Drosophila melanogaster: one gene and its partner. The protein of the gene in region 1 interacts with the protein of each later gene in a biochemical or structural test. Each region holds a gene or a part of one and is shown in the gene's direction. Other genes may lie near its edges. The genes, in order: siz and Arf6.

Evidence for each region.
Region 2: of the proteins of siz (region 1) and Arf6, one has a biochemical effect on the other in vitro, tested with the Drosophila melanogaster proteins (one study listed by BioGRID).

Annotation. Positions count from the first base shown.
Region 1 is NT_037436.4:21,030,631-21,039,319, forward strand, and holds the start of siz (schizo), read left to right. Parts: upstream 1-3,904; 5' UTR 3,905-4,288; coding exon 4,289-4,671; intron 4,672-8,689. Other genes in the region: CG10584 (uncharacterized protein), read right to left, coding at 1-619; Polr3E (RNA polymerase III subunit E), read left to right, coding at 1,259-1,291, 1,351-2,421, 2,486-2,842; CG10581 (uncharacterized protein), read right to left, coding at 2,930-3,453, 3,517-3,562.
Region 2 is NT_033778.4:15,317,400-15,326,088, forward strand, and holds Arf6 (ADP ribosylation factor 6), read left to right. Parts: upstream 1-5,101; 5' UTR 5,102-5,313; exon of another isoform or gene 5,314-5,342; intron 5,343-5,403; exon of another isoform or gene 5,404-5,631; intron 5,632-5,724; 5' UTR 5,725-5,742; intron 5,743-6,049; 5' UTR 6,050-6,084; coding exon 6,085-6,166; intron 6,167-6,445; coding exon 6,446-6,748; intron 6,749-6,802; coding exon 6,803-6,945; 3' UTR 6,946-8,091; downstream 8,092-8,689. Other genes in the region: Xpc (xeroderma pigmentosum, complementation group C), read left to right, coding at 35-312; CG8155 (uncharacterized protein), read right to left, coding at 1,181-3,109, 3,167-4,489, 4,577-4,621; CG8157 (uncharacterized protein), read right to left, coding at 8,562-8,689. UniProt on the Drosophila melanogaster protein: GTP-binding protein involved in protein trafficking; may modulate vesicle budding and uncoating within the Golgi apparatus. Promotes cell movement and remodeling of the actin cytoskeleton during compound eye morphogenesis.

The DNA of each region.
Region 1 (8,689 bases):
TCCCAGTTTGGCGACCTCGATCCAGGAGGTTATCCAAGACGCAGATGAAGGCATCGGTTAGCGTATCACAGTAGATGACATCGGCAGCTAGGATTATATCGCTATTGTCTATGGCCTCCAGCAGATCCTGCGAGTGATCCTCTTTTGAGGCGAGAAAATCAAACTCCAGAACTGATATCGTAGCGCGGAGGAGTTTTGAATTTCTTTGGACATTGCCGCGGATCAGCTTCAGTATGCATCCCAGGTCCACATCCGTGCAATAGATCCTTCCGTTATTGTGTATTCCGGCGGCAATGCTGGTCAGGCCGACACCAGCTCCCAGTTCCATTAGGGTTTTCTGGGAAAACTCATCCTTTTTGGAGAAAAGGTAGTCTGCCAGAAGAAGGGCTCCTCGCCACACCTGCAAGCCCACCAGCCGGAGCTCCGTGGCCTCGGAATGTTCCAATTCGATCACGCCACGTTTCGGCCTTGGCACCTCAAGGTCGCCGTCTTTATCCGTCCTAATCCCCGCCAGCTTCTCCTCCGGATAGACGAAACGGAACTTCGACAACACCTTACCTCCATCGCGGGTCGTCTGGTAGTTGTTCTCTCCGTAGATCTCCGACGTGACCGTGAACATGATCCGGTTATGTATGCGGCCAAGAGCATAGGGTATATGAATTTAATGCTGCGGTCGGTCGAGACATCTTCCCCGGGCGTCGTGGTCGATTACAAAATCGGTATCGCCAATCGGTAGGCGGAAATTGTGTTTGCATTCTGTCTTTGCACAGTGGATGGGGACACATATATTTTAATAATTTGAAATTATTTAAATTTAGTGTTTATTATTTATGCACCGAAGAACTTTTGAAAATGTTTAATATAAACTATAAACTCGTTTCGCTTAATTTAAGGCAAGCATATATAATCACAGTACTTAATCGTATCTCACGGCTAAGTTCTAATAATTTGTGCACATCTTAAGATTAGAACCAGAGCTCTATATACATATATGTATTGAAATTATTTATTATATTTAATATACAACTTAGTCTTCTTAAAAGGGAATCACTTTAAATTACTATGACTTTTTGATGTTTTTCATAGTGAAAATGTATTATTCAATCTCGAGCCTAATGAGAGATAGTTCGAGTGATTGTATACCACTGTGCCGATCAGCTGTTTGCAGAGCTGGCTACCGAAGGAAGGCAACCTGGTCACACTGGATATTTAGGCGTGCACCGTCGGCAGACAAAACTATCAAATCGAAATTTAAATTATGGAAGACGAGGACGATCCCGTCGTGGAGGAGGTGAGTATGTGAGTGGCACTATTATTACCATGAGAACAATGCCCGCCCATCCCCACCAGATTCCCGTATTCCTGTCGAAGAACCTGAGGGACAGCCTGTATCTCTTTCAATACCCCACGAAAACGGAGCTCCCCAACCACGATGACTCCGTGATTGTCAATTGTTGTGTAAAACCAATCGCCCAGGAGGTGAAGGTGGACTTCGGCCTGGACATTGAGTCGGCCCACTTCGATCGCTTCAAGGGCGAGCAATTTGCGGTGGCCGCCGACGGAAAGAACACCTATGGAGCAGTTCCACCAAAGGGTCAGGAGCGACCCACCTACAAACGTGGCATCATGGACAAACAGGCCTTCACAAGCTCGCGTTCCATAACCGATGTGGCCAAGTACATAGTGGGCATCTTTACGGATCGGGAGGTGCATCTGTCGCCACTTACATCCATAGTCCAAATGCGACCCGTTCTCAGTCACTTCGATAAGGACGACAAGCGCAAGAAGGCGGAACTGAAGGCTCAAACGGAGGACACGGACGATGACGAGGTGCTGCAGCAGGTCACGGTTAAATTTGCACGAGGAAATGCCAAAAACAGCGGAAAGGAGCAACGTGTCGGCACCTACGACAGTTTCGTCCAGCGAATTGCGGATGAGCCGTGGTGCGAGGCCTACTGGCACTCGAGGGGCACGCCCACCGCCGAACTGGAGCGCCAGAAGCTCTTTGCCACCAGTCATCACGGCAGTTCCTCTTTGGCTCTCGCTCCTGACGAATATCTTCGAAAGCTTCTGCCCTACGACGAGCATGTGCAGACGGTAGCCCCAGCAGCTGCTTCTGCTGCCGCCCAAGTACTTCCCGTCTACAACAAGGCCATGCTTAAGTCTATGCCGCTGCTGGAACAGCTTACAGTGCTACTGAGAGATGCGCGGATGCTCTCGTTCAGCGACGTCATTAGTATTCTCGCGGAGCACGTGGATCCGCATGTGGCTGCCGACAAGGTGCTGGCTTTGCTGCCCCAGGTGGGCATCCTACTGCACGGCAACTGGGTGCCGAAATCCGAGGTGGTCTTTCCCGAGAAGGTGCTTTCCCATGCGAACGGTGTGTCCGCAGAGCAGATGATTCGCGCCAGAGATTATATAGTGAGTTATAGTATGGGTGTAGCGATCACTTATCTTGTACTAATCTCCTCAAATCCATCCGCAGCTCTTTCGTTTCTCCCGCACGCCCTACCTGTTCCGAGCTCAGGTAATGGCCGCCACCCAGTTACCTCCTGCGGAAACACTTGACGTTTTGAAGACTGTGGCCCGGGTGAATAACACAAAACGGTGGGAGCTGCTACTGCCACCCGACAAGGAGTTCGAGCAAAAGTACCCGGAACTGGTCAGCCGACAGGAGTACCACTGGACCGCTTCCGAGCAGCACTACAATGAAATGGACTGGGCTAGGGAAACCAAACGTGTTCGGAAACGTTCGACGAGGAAGAGCGAATCCCAGTCACTGACTTCAGCCATGCCGCCGCCCGCAATGAATCACTCAACAACTGGCTCCGTGGATGCGTAGCATCGGATGATGATCTCCCAGCGGCGGAGAATCGGCAGCACGATTATACATCTAGGCACTATTAAAAAGACCAACAATTTTACTTTGTTAAAGAAGTGCTTTTGTAATCTCTTCTGTAATCTCTCCAGCCAAGGCGTTCCTATTGAATTTGGTCACCTGGTAAATCTTGGATCCTGCTGACTTTCTCAGCTGCTCCACCAAAGCCAATGTTGATTTCTCGGGTATGGTGACCAATAGGGCCCGCTTTTTCTTCAGGAGATCAGCCATGGCCGACTCAAATCGCTTGCTAAGCAGCTCCATTTTGCCCACTTCATCCACGACCAGGAGATCCGGCTCTGGTTGGGAATCCTGTGTGCCAAGTACTGGCAGAGCGAGACTGTCGAAGTCCTGCACAAACACCGAATACTCTCCCACTTTGGGTCGTCGCAGCTGGTCCCCGGGATTCTTGCGAGATAGGATTGCTCGTTTTCCGGCTAACGTGACCACGTCGAAGCCGATTCTTTGGCTGGTGCCCTCACCTCGCATTTCCTCTGTGTAGAATCCTTGAAGAATGCGTCCTCTATCCTGCAGAGCCGAGCATATTTTGTGGACCAGTGTAGTTTTACCCACTCCTGAAAATCATGATTACATACATAATAAACAAATAGCAAATATTTTCCCAGCTAAATTTGCACCTGGTGGCCCAGTTAGTATAATGGTTATATTTTTTTGGTTCTTCATGTCGGCTTATTATTACAATACCAATTTTATAGAATATTTTTGTGGTGAACTAGATCAACCAGGAATGGATCATTGGCAGTTCCAAAATAAATCTTAATTAATGCACACATATTTAGATTTAATGAGTTTTAAATTTATCAAAGAAAGAAAATGCTTATGTATAATAATGAGCATAAACTTAAGATTGTTTATGCCCTTCTTAAATAAGATGAAAACAACAATATATTTTAAAATAAAACGGTCGTCTTAAAATGCCACATTTGATGCGGTATATTTTTTGAATACGATAGCGTATTTTGAGTTGCATGCTCTATGGTCACACTGCGGTGCCCCCCAGCACGTCCACACTGTTTCCAAACGTCGAACGACGAGTGCGTCGTGTTTTTCGTCGCGCGTGAATTGAAAATCCGTAATTCCGAGAATATTCGTAATCCCCCTCCGATCCGCACCAACTGTTGCTCGCGATTCGAAGTGCTGGCTCTGAAGTATAATATACGAAGGTCATTCAATTACAATACGAGTGAAGTTTCAACTCGCAGCAAGCTGCATTTTCAGTTCTTATTGTGAGATTCAAAGTGGTTCTGCCTGTTTCGCTGTTTTATCACCCTCTCCACCACCTTCCCTCATTCGCGCGAGTGCGTGTGCGTGGCGGGGCTATAATGTTTTGGCCACAAAAGCACATCGATTAGGAGTGCAGCCGATCCCCGCTAAGGTTATAAACAAAACATGTCCGAGGCCGATCTGAAGAATCTATCCCAGAACTCGGATGGCGACCAGGAATTGCTGCTGCATCAGACCACGCAGTCCCTGCTGATGGCCAGCTCCATAATGTTTGTGGGAAACCAAGGAGGGCCGGGCGGTTCCGCTGGGGGTGTCGCCCCACCTGGACCCGTTTCCCTGCCCCTGCCCCTCTCCATCAACATGCCCCATCACCATGTGCATGCGATGCCCTACAATGTGGACGAGCTGCTCCGGGAGAACAATGCCCTGCACGCCAAGATCAAGGAGTTGAGTCTGGAACGCGATCGCCTGCTCTGTGAAGTGTCCAATCTGCGACTGGAGCTGGACATGTCGGAGCTCAAGCGACTGCCCGTCGATCTCGATGATAAGTGAGTGCCCACCAATGTTTACTATCTAGTAATATATTCAAATATCTGTTAAATAAGGGTGAATTAATGGCATATCATATTTTCCTATTGGACATCCCGCTTAAATGGAAACTTCCAATAGGAAGAGATGCACTTTAAAATTGCGGTTGCAAAATAATTTTCATGGCATTTGGGGGCCAGAAAAAATTTGCAATGTTCAGCAATTTGATTTCAACATATTTAAAAAGAATTTTGTCGATATTGTTCTAGATGTGTCAACGAGCATTTTACATATTACAAAGAACAATTTCTCACTAAATACTCTGTAAAATGCGGTTGTTTATTTTGTGATCTCATTAAGAGCCAAAATATTCCATTAAGTAATTATAATCAGTCAGGAGATAGTATTCATCTTTAAATTGATTATATTTTGAAACAATATATATTTAAAATCTTTTCTGCTATACTACCTACTTTTAAAGCTCTTCTTTAATGCTTCTTATCAGAGCGGCATTTCGCTTTTAAGTTTCAGGTCAAGGCCTTTGATATATCTGTATATATTGTAGTTTTATTTATACCATAATTTAATCTGCACATAGGCCAGTTTTTTATTTCCCTTTTCTGATTAGAAATTAACATTTTAGCTGATAAGAAAAAGAGCTGGAATACATAATTCATTCAGTGAAGATCCTTACTTTATATTTTGTGGTTGTGTGATCTTAAAACAAAAACTTGAAGCCAAAGTACCATTTCTTCTTCAGCACTCAAACAAAACCACAAAAATCATTGATTTTTTTTTTGGATCGCCATTTTCGGCTGCATTTCCGTGACCCCCAACTCCAATGTTTCCTTGCCCCCGGGTTGAGTCAACTTCTCGTTGAGTCACATTCATTCGTCCCCTTGTCCTTGCCACCTTGGCAGCTGCAGGCTGACAAGTCGGAGTGCGACTTCTGGTTTTTGCAACCCCTTTTTGCACGCCGGTCTACCTGTGGGCTAATCGACACAGTCGTGGTCGCAAAATGAAGTGCACCGTGGCGATAGGTATTTCCGTACATAAAAAACTCATGCTTATCTGTAACAGAACAATAGATAATGTTGTATTTATTTCGTTGCCAAATTGAATGAGTCAGTTGTGCTGTGATAGAACTACAGTTGCTCTCCGCTTATCGATCGACCAGAATTCTCTATTTGTTTAGTTCTGCTGATAACTAATGTGTAGTGCTACTTCGGGCGATAAGAGCCGTCTCAGGGAAATTCAATGTTAAGACCGAGTTTCGATCACTTATTTGGGGTCTTTCCAGGGGAGATTAACCTCACAAATGCATGGGCAAACAAGAAAAGAAATATTATAAACCATTCGCCTGGCATTTTGCCATTGACAGTCGAATAAAGTTGGGAGTATCTTAATATTCGTACCTGACTTTGCTTTGCATGCGGTCATGCCCCACCGCAGACAATCTTTTAAATACAGATATTTTCGTATATATGATGTATACATATACAAAGTGGGCGCAAATAAAGCGCAGTTATCTTTTAACCGTTTTCTTTATTTTCGGGGCTTCTTGGCCTCTAAGGTCTGCTAGTAGTAGAATCGTGGGCTCTTCCAATTATTCGCTTAGCGTTTTCTGTTTATTTTTTATGTCTCGGTTTTTGCAGCTCACCTTCGCCAAAACTTTGAAACACAAAACACCAGAAACTTTTAAACTCGCATTCGTCGAATGTATAGATACTCTTTTAGAATTGTTATTTATTGTCACGTTTTTATATGAATAATCACTTCAGATATCTTATATATAAATTAATCTTTCAGATCAGATTATTTTGAATAATGATAATTTAGTTGATAGAGCATAAATGAAATTGGGAAAAATGCAGGATTTGCTTATCAAACGTTCCCTGCATATAAGGTACATTTCCTCATTTGTACCACCATTTTTTACGTTTTAATTAGCGAATCTAAATGTAATGTAAAAATGCTTACCACGGCTTAGATCCACTTTCAGATTAGAGTTGTACAAGATAAGCTGCACGCACCTAGTTGGCATATCTTTCATTATGGAAAAGAGTATGTCACGATGAGACATTAAACTCAAGATCAGAGATGTTGTTGAAATTGTGCGGGTAGCTTTCTGTCTTATGAGTACGGTTCCGCTGCTCCATGAATGTTGTTGTTTCTCTCTGTACACTGGGAGAACTTACGTGACTCACAATTAAAGCATTTTATTTATTACCATCATTAAAAAATAAACAAAAACAAAATGATTATACACATTTTCGTTTGATTTATACATATATTCTTAAAGCTTAAAAGTAACCCGAAAATAATTATATTTTTTAACAGTGTAGTCAACTATGTCGTTTCTTGGCTTGCCGCAGAGTTCAACTCATTAGCCAGTTATCATCATCTAATAAAGCAGACACACGCACCACAGAAAAATGGGAAATGCGGAAAAGGGGGCGGAGGAAAACACTTGCCCATTTGAAAAGTGCTTTTAACTTTGCTCTGGGTCTCTCTTTGTGATAATTAAGCGAGTGTAGTGGAGAGTCTATTAATTTCGTACGACCCCCCTTTTAAAATGGCAATGGTGGGGCTTTCCAGGGGGTGGAGCGGAGTGGTCAAGATGGGGCGGATGGAATAACGTTTTCCGACTACTTAATGAGTGTGTACTGTATTCTGTAACTTTAGTAGGTGAAGTAGTTCTCTGGCCTTCTTGCCACTACTACTCTGCTCTTTCATTTGCATGCAACATTTGGAGTGAAGACTGCGGTTGCCTTATTACAAAAGGGGGCGTAGTTGAGGGGGGGGGGGGATACCGGGGGACTGGAAGTTTGATGGTCAAAATGGAAGCCATGCGTGCTGCGAACATCTTTGAGGTTTGAGAGCAAAACTTTTGTTTTAATTAAAAGATATGCCAAATGGACATGCAAGTTGGGGGCTGGATGATCTAAATGCACCAGCAGATGGGAACTACTTTGAAAATGGGGGCGGAGTTGAAAATGAGATAGTAATTGCACTAATAACATGCTGATTTTTAAGTGATTCCCACTGAAGCCTTTGTTTCAGCCACAGATCCAGATGGTTTCTTAATTGCGGTCACTTTTTTTGTGGTGTTAACCCAATTCAGTAAAGGGAGTACTTCTATTTCTTTCTATAGTTTGCGAAAGATTTTTTGTGGTTTGTTCGATTATTTCCCTCAGGGTTAAAGTCCAGAAGAAACTATTTAAAATGTTGTGTGTTGTGGTGAATCCTATTACCGCTTTTAAAACTATTTGAACTAAAATGTAATATGTAAATTGAATATATGTAATCCTTGAAGTATATAGGCCTTCTAAAATGTATTTTCTAAAGACCTAACAATTTATAAGTTCAAGCTGATGAAAAACAAATTGAATACAATTTCCTTCTGCTATTTCAATTATTATGACAAAGTACTTATCCATCACCAGTAATTTCTCTCAATTATTTCAGATGCGGAAGTGTTTAGATACCATAACTTTCCTTCCAAAGTTCTCGATTGCAAATTAACACAATTAAGTTGATCCCTTTTCTGGGTTGTGATCCAGTGATCCCCGAACACATCTGGATAGTTGGGGCAAGCATGTGTCGGTGCTTCAGACTAGACCATTTATTTATTATGCATGCAATAAACGAAAACAAATTTCTCGGTTTTCAATCGAAAAGTGAGATCATCAACGCGCTGGCCAGCCGAAGAACAATAATTAAAATCATTTATATGAAATGTTTAATAAACAATGTCATTGCCAAACTGTGCTGGCTCATGTGTTCCAACTAAACTGTCAAGTCACAGCTGAAAAAAAGCGCTTGCGAAAAATTCCAGTTGGCTTAAAGTCTTCGGGGGATTAGTTTTCAAACGAAGCATGTAATCAATTAGAGGGCGTCCCGCTTGGGATTTAGCTTTTTGCATATGTTACGTACTTGTTTCCTTTTTTCCTTTTTATTTGTATTTGTATTTGTATTTGTATACAACGCGCGCAGCTCGTTACGCAGATACTAAGAGATACAATGATTGATGAGACA
Region 2 (8,689 bases), on another chromosome or scaffold:
AATTTATTTAAATAACCTCGAAATTCAATTATAGTGCCCGGCTTGATGCGCATCTGTAAGAAGCTGAATATTGATTGTGCCAATGCAGTGGTTGGCTTCGATTTTCATCAAGGCGCTTGTCATCCCATGTACGATGGCTTCATTGTTTGCGAGGAATTCCGCGAAGTGGTCACTGCTGCCTGGGAAGAGGATCAACAGGTACAAGTTCTCAAGGAGCAGGAGAAGTACGAAACCCGCGTGTACGGAAACTGGAAGAAGCTGATCAAGGGTCTCCTCATTCGCGAGCGACTCAAGAAAAAATATAACTTTTGAATTCTTTGGCCTCTGATTTATGTTCGTATTATTGTTTCGTTTAAAGGCATTTTGATATTTTTGTATTTAAAACGTAATTTGATTCCAATAAATTGTACACTAGTTGTTTAGAATTCGTTTATTAATCGATTGTTTAAAAGTTCTTTTTTTTCGTAAATTTACATAGCATATTCGTTAACTTTACTTCGAATTTTTTGAATTAAATTTTAATTTACAAAATTATTTTGTTTTCAGAGTACGTTGAGAGATTTTTAAGATACAGAACGTTTGAGATAATAAGATTATGGTTATTTGGGTTATAGATCCGTCAATTTATTTGCATAAAATAGTATTTAGGCGCGATTTTAAATCTAAAATATAGTTTTTACAACAGCATGGAATGCATTAGCAGACTAGAGAAATAAAGCAATTTCCAGCCAAACAGCTCGCATTTGATCGTTTGGCAAAGGTGCAGATAAATATGTAATAAAATATAAATAAAACCTTAATTCAAAATAAGAAAGTACAAAATCCGTATACGTACAAAAAGAAGACTTTGGTTATGTATTCTGCCATTCACCTCTAGCAAGACAAATCTGAGCAATCGACTGAGTTTATGGTTACATCAAGAGCTGCACTTTCATGAAATGTTAAAACTTAAAGGAAAAGTTCGTGCATCGAGGGCATGGGGTTATCGTGGAGTCAAAGTTTCTTTTAATGCCAAGATGATAAAATTGTTTATTGTAATGGGTTTTTTGTTCTGTTGAATTGGAGAAGTTCTGCATAACACTCATCGAATATTTGTGAAATTTCAGTAACTCATACATAACGGTTGCCAAGCTGAGATGACACTAAGGTTTCATGGAAGCGGGGTAGGATTGCAAGTCTCTTAAGCAGGCATTGATGAAGTCAAGCTCGCGCCCGTGGAACCAGTGGAGACAGTCCCGCTGGGCGATCTCTGGCGCTGTGGGCTGCTTTGTGCCTTAAGGTAGTCCACGAACATACGCCTGGCCTGATTGAGAACCCGAGTGACGTCGTGTTTCCTCACCATTTTATCAAAGTGCATGGCAATCTCGTTGTAGTCCATGCCTGCCTTCATGATCGTGTTTCGGTGCTGTAGCAAAAGTGTTAGACAGAGAAACATGAGGAATGCATTACCTCCACCGAATTCTGTAGGTGGAGGCAATGCGGCCGCAGTGGTATTCACTGCACTGACTCCATTAAGATGGGTTGAACGCTGGGGGGATCGCGTATAGGCGCTCTCGTCATCTGCATTCGTGGCGATCTCCACCAAAGGCGAAACCTCCACTAGACTCGGCTCAGTGGAAATGGGCAGGATGACTTCGGGCAAACTGTTGCTGTTGCGCATTCCCAATGGACTGTGCCCATCCATAAGTTGGCTTTCGTCGATGAATGGATTAAAGGCATGCGACTCGTTTTGCTGAACGCTGTTACTCTTAGCCGCCAGTCGCTGTCGACGACGCATATGTAGCTCACTGACATCGGGACAGGTTATGATCTCGTTCTCCTTGAGATCCTCCACTAAGTCCAGGGCGTCCTTGTCCAGCTTCTCGTACTCGATGTCTTCCCGTTTCTCGCTCTCCGTAAAAGGCAGCCCAAAAACTTGTCGATCTAGATTCTCGGCCTCTAGGCGCAGCTCACGCGTTATGGCCGTCGTCATGGGGTAGTACTCCTGGTCGGGATCTTGATCCGGTGTGTTTGAATCGTCGGGGTCGCATGGGTGATTGCTTTCCAAATCTAGCTGTAGATTGTAACTGCTCAGTTCCTGTGCCTGCTGAATGGTCGTCGCAGCCGTTGAAGCGCTCCAACTGGTTTCCGGAAGTGAGGAAGAATCAGATTCGTCCAGGGAGCTACCCATCCCACTCTTGGTTAGCTGTACCACGGGCTTAGTAACCGAAATTGGACCGGATGTTTGTTGCGGCTGAGTGGCAAAACGATCGGATATACGATTCTTATTAATAGTTGCAAAATTTAGGAATTCATTGAAGTTTTTTACAAGCTTTGGCGGCATCTTCCGATCACCATCATCTTCTCCTTCTCCATCAAAAGAGATACCAATACGACTGCTTGCCGCCAGCTTTTCCTTGAGATCCTTAAAATGGCCACCACTAGAAGTGCTTACTCGCTTCATACTTTCACTCACTTGACTAGCATTAGTAGCTAGCTGTTTGGCGATGATATTGCTCACGGTCATAATGTTTTTGTGCTGCAGCTTGGCCTTCCTGTCACTGGGGTCCTCGTCCAGATTCGAGGAAGACGAACTACACAGAAAGGCTCGTCCTGGTGAAACAGGAGGTGTGGTTTCTCTTTCTGGTGCTCTCTGAGCATCATCCTTAAACGGATTTGTCTCCAAAAAGCTTGGCGACTCCTTCCTATCAAATACATCATCATCTTCGGTTTCCTCGCCGGCGGACAAGTTTTGTTCCAACTTGACATTCCTATTATCCAAAGCGCCCTCAATAAGCGCCAGCATTTTTGACTCGTCCAGACTTTGATGGACCTTGGCCGAAGTCCGTCTTTGGCGGCGAGCAGCGGCTGTCGCATGACGCGACATATTGTCGTCTAGGCTGTGATTCAGCCGTTTTGTATTGTCCAATCCGTGACTGGTTCCCACCGAAGAACTTAGTGAGCTCAAGGAGGCTGAAGAGCTCTGACGGCGCAAAGCGCATACCTTGGTGTAGGGACTTTCACGCGGTTTTGTCAGCAGATAGGAAGGACTGGTCGGCGTAGCGCTGTAGGAGCTGGAAAAAGTGCTGGCGCTATTGGGCACGGAGGCATCAGTAATGGGTACGAATTCCTGTGAAAAATCATGGTGATTAGAAATTAAGCAATTCCCTTTGGGTTTCGCACTAACCTTTTCAAAGAGCGCCAGCTCTTTCTCCCCATCACATCGATAACGAAGTGAACTCCACTGCACCTCCAGCATGCGAAGGGCATCCTCAAAAGGAAACTCCCGCTTTAGCTCCAGCAGTAGCCAACGGTAACAGAAAAGTAAGTCGTCCGCTTGCTGCGACTTGAGGTACTCCCAGAACTCAGGATCATAAAAACTTAGCGCCTCCGTTAGGTGAGCAAATTTCTGAGTCATTGCAATCCCATCCAGCATGAAGTTTCCACGCATACGTGACATTATCGCACAAAAGCAGATGTAGGCCTGTGCCTCGTCGTTCATGGTAACCAGTAGCGGGGAAGCAATGTCCGACATGCCTTGACAATATGAGACCGATGGATGGTTTAGTGCATATGTGGTGAGGATATTGAAAAGCGCAGCGATGTTCTGATTGTCGTCGCTGCCTGCATAAAATGGATGCAGGCGGTCCGTGCGGAGAACATCCTTCTTTACCATGCTCGTTACGTAAGCCAGTTCTCCAGCCACACTGCCTCGCTTCACGGCCGCTTTCCATGTGTCTCTCAGACGACAGTACTGCTCAGACTTTCGTCGCATGAATTCCATACGCTGGTGTCCATCAAGTGCCAGTCCGTTAGCGCCACCGGGATAAACGTTAAGCAGATGTTTCCACACAACGCGCCGCAGACTGGGGTCAATGCCTCCTAGGAAGATGACCCTATGCAACTCGTCCTTGCGTTGAATCTGACCAAGTGCGTCCAGAAAGAGCCGGAACTCGCTGTCGCACATGGGCGGCCGTGGCGGTAGATTGGCCATATGCTCCTCGGATAAGTTAAACGCTTTCTGCACTATGGAGAAGGTTTTCTCCATCTGATTCAGAATGGAGCTGCCCAGTTTGGTCTGCATGTGCTGGACATATTTCTGGGAGACTCCTAAGGACTGCAGTGGTGACATAAGCTCGCGGGCGGGTACAAAAGGTGCAGGAGTTGCGGGAGCAGGCGCTCCCGTTATGGATCTACCCGGGGAGGCCTCGGTCTCACACTCCCTGACCACCGTAAATGGCTTCACATCGATCTGCAGGGTGAGGCAGGGTTCTGAGGCCGTCTGAATGGAAATGTTGTGAATCCTCAGAAAGGCGGCATCCAGATCCCAGTCGGAGCGCACGGCCAGGTAGATCTCGTTGCCCGCCGGATCAAAGGCCTTGTACTTAATGGAGAAGTCCGACTTGACATCGAAGGCCTTGGCCAGCAGGGAGTACAACACCTCCAGCGTGGTGATCTGCGGGTCCACTGAAAACTTTCGCCACTCCGGCCGAGCAGTGGGTTCGCATTTCTGTGGGCGATTTCAAAAAAATTAGATTGAGGAACACAAACTAAGCAGCCCTTTTGTTGTCTCGCCTTCTGGCCACCTTTCACTTGCCTTCACTTTCACCCGAACCGCCTCCCGGGGGCAAATGCCAGCCATGTTTTCCGAGTCTGTTCTGGTCGACGACTAACTAAGTTCCATTGTACCTCTGAGCGATGTCAGTATCGTAAGTATTGCTCAAATATAAAACAATACAAAAGAAGGAAACTGAAATCAATCGACTTGATTTCAATCATCGGTTTCAGTGTGGCCGCCCTAGGGCTTTGTAAGTTCACCAGGGCTACATTAAAATACCAAATCACTAAATACACAAAACAAAAATTTTTAAAATTAAAAAAAATTAACAAATTGTTGAACGTACGAGGAGAATATATCAGCTACATTGTTTGCTAAATTAATATGAATAATAAATGAATATAAGAAAATAAATCTTTTTCAATTTTGAATTGCAAAAGTAATAACTTATTGGCCAAAAAATCACGATATCCCCGCCAGTCACCGTTTTTCATCTGATAAATTCAGTATTTTTGGTATTTATCCTCCGCATTCTTTGCATTTTTTAGCGTATTTTCTGGAATTCCCGAAGATCTTGTTCCGCTCTGCGCTAACGGGCACATTGCTTCGTGTATGTGTATATAAATACAAGAAGATTAGTGCAAAATTGTTGTTGTTAGTTATAGTTTTTTGGCCGCCGTGTGCTAGCAAATGCATTTTATGCCCCGGCCCGCGCACTTTGGCACTACATGTTAACGGATTTCAGGCTGGCGTGGAACGAATTGGGCTGGAAAGCGGTGCGTAACGGCGGTCGTCGGAGACTTGGGTGTGTATACATGTGTATGTGTGTTACGGGCGTGTTTGTGACGTAGGCAAGCAGCAGCGAGAGAGCGAGCGAAATTCCGTAGAATCCGAAAACCATCCGATATCGTTGCTCCCAAGCCGGCTTTACTGGGTCGTCGAGGGGTGCGGTGGCTGTTCAGGGGGCGGGGGTGGAGCGGTCGGATCCACCCGCCCATTCAGTGGAGCCAGCGATAAGCCCGCAATTGAGATAACTCTGCCTCAATTTGCGAGACACTATAGTGTGTTTATCTGTCCAATTGTACTTCCTATGTGTAAGCATGTGTGCGTGTGTTTGTGTGTGCGACTGTGTGCTGCAAGCTCTTCACTGATAAATTCTGCCTCTCCACTTTTTTCTCGCTTTTTAGCAACGAGCTGATGACAATGTAAGTGAAATTATTATGCAAAATAATGGTCTTAGCTTCCGCCGTCGTACAAGCTCTATATGGCCACCAAATTGCCTGTGCCCGCCGTATGTGTACATATGTAGCTACATTTGTATGTTCATATATCACTTACGCGCCTTCGCGCGACGGCGTTCTTATATCATAAATTGATATGTTAACTGCAAACTGTATTACAATGGCCCTATTATCTGGAAATTCACTGACCCTGCCCTGAATCTCGCCCAGCTATTCTTATCGATATGCTTATTTGGAAGACCTCGCCAACTCTACTCGAACTGTTTTTCAGATTGGCTAAGGTTTAATGGATGACACATCAGCACCATGGGAAAGTTACTATCAAAAATTTTCGGCAACAAGGAAATGCGAATTCTCATGCTCGGACTGGACGCGGCTGGAAAAACAAGTAAGCACATAAACAATAAAGGGTTCTCGAATTCGATTGTGGGCCTGATTAGTACCCATTAGTTTCATCAGTTTCCTAAGTGGAAACCAATCCCATTTAAAAAATACTCTTGAGGCGAGGCAATTATTGTTTTGTTTTTATTCTTATTGTACTTTGAAAAAATGTACAATATAAAGACCTTTCAATACGTACACCAGTACTATCACTAATCGAATTCGAGCTATTTTGTTTATACATCCTTTGCGTGTCTAAAGTAATATTGTTTTTGTCCACCCACAGCGATTCTGTACAAACTGAAACTTGGCCAATCTGTTACAACGATACCCACTGTGGGCTTTAATGTGGAAACCGTCACCTATAAGAATGTCAAGTTCAATGTGTGGGACGTCGGTGGGCAGGATAAGATTCGACCGCTATGGCGACACTATTACACGGGTACACAGGGTCTGATCTTCGTCGTGGATTGTGCGGATCGGGATCGGATAGACGAGGCGCGCACGGAGCTGCATAGGATAATTAACGATAGGGAGATGCGCGACGCCATCATACTGATATTTGCTAACAAGCAGGATCTGCCTGATGGTTAGTATAGTGCTCAGCCAATTGTTTCCATCCGCTTATTGTTCTCTCTTGCAGCAATGAAACCCCATGAAATCCAGGAAAAACTAGGTTTAACTAGAATAAGAGATCGCAATTGGTATGTACAACCATCATGTGCCACATCCGGCGATGGCCTGTCCGAGGGCCTCATTTGGTTAACGTCGAACCATAAGTTATGAGAATCGTAATCGAGCATTTTCTTATATGTATGTATATGGCATGTATTATTCGAAGCGAAGCAAAAGCGAAAATATTCTATTTTATTTATACAAAGAAAACCAACCGCAAGCGCATAGTAAAAACTCAATTCGTAAAAACGAACGTACATAAATTACAAATGTTAAAAATGGTATATAGAAGTCAGATATATATAGTAATTATATATACTCTCAATTAACCAACCAATATTCTCACTAGTAAAAATACACATACCTACAAAATAAAAGAAGCATCAAAATAAGCAGCCGGTAAATATCCGTAAAGTAAATTATGCGTGAAGCACAGAGACATAAAGCAAAACATCAACGGAGATTAGCCTTAAGTAAGTTTTTCTTGTAAATTATATTGATGAGACACGTAAGCAATAAGTTGAAAGCTTGTTTATTGCAACTGTTACTATATTTGACTTGAGCAAGGGTGTAACGAGTCTTAAATAAATTGTAAATAAATATTCAAATTAAAGCCCATATACAACAACAAACGAAATAAAAGAAAACACCGAACAAACAATTGAACAAACCTATAGATTGCTATTTAGATTAAAACTGAGTCTTCAAAATATAATGAAATAGTAACTGTGCCTTCCTCAATGTGTGTCTATGATCCCTCATTATTTTCCCCACTCCAACAGCTAATTTTCTCAATCTGATATCCTTCGAGACGAAGAAGGTCCCTGGATTTGCGAGAAAGGCATATTCTGACTTCAGTGTCAAACGCATTTGGTTTGTATTGTGCGCTCAATTTGAAAGGTAAACATGCCACATTCAGTGCCATAATTTGCAGGGTAAATGAGCCTGGGTATACCTGAGCATGATTTGTTCAACACGGCGTTCAATAATTTACCTTTGTTTTGCAATCATCCCCGAATTGTCCGAAAAACTCCTTGGTACATCCTTGCATGAATAATATAATTTATTTTTTGTGGGTGTATGTCTTGTTTTATACCTTTACCGTTTTTATCAAAACCAACCTATTCATAATACCCCGTAATATCTCAGTATCTAAGATTTTTGTTGCTGAATTATAATTATAAATTTTAAGTTATGAAACAAATCATAGGTTTCAAAGTTATTTTCTGTAAATATGTTTTTGTATTATTATTGTATTATAATAATAAAAATATATAATAATTAGTAGAGTCACGTTTTACAGATGAAAAGGTTGTGATGAAGATGACGAGTTCCCAAATAAACGTCATCTAGCGATCCACGAAGTGACGAAGCGCTTATTGCCAAGATAATCTTGTTAATATTCTCACATGAAGTGACACATCCTATGAAATTTGTATGTAGAATTAAACGATTCCGACTTAATAAAGTGTATATATTGTTAATATATATATTATTAGTCAGGATCAATAGCCGAGTCAATCTTTTCTGTGTGCAGAATCCCAGAGTGTAGTATTTCCTTGGTTTTGCGTCTCCTCAAGATGCGTGTTTGTTCTTTCCTTCGTTTGCGAGTTATCTCCAGGATCCGTGGTCTCCTTAATATTTGGTTCACGAAAACAGCAGGTATATGTTGGAAAAAACTATTTATTTTTTGTTTACGATTTTAAGACGATTAAGAAATTGGGGTATTAGAAGCGCCCATGATGTCCTCCATGGTGTCTGTGGTGTTCGCCAAAGCCGCCTTGTCCGCCACCGAAACCACCTTGACCGCCAAATCCTCCCGGTCCGCCACCGAAACCACCTTGACCGCCATATC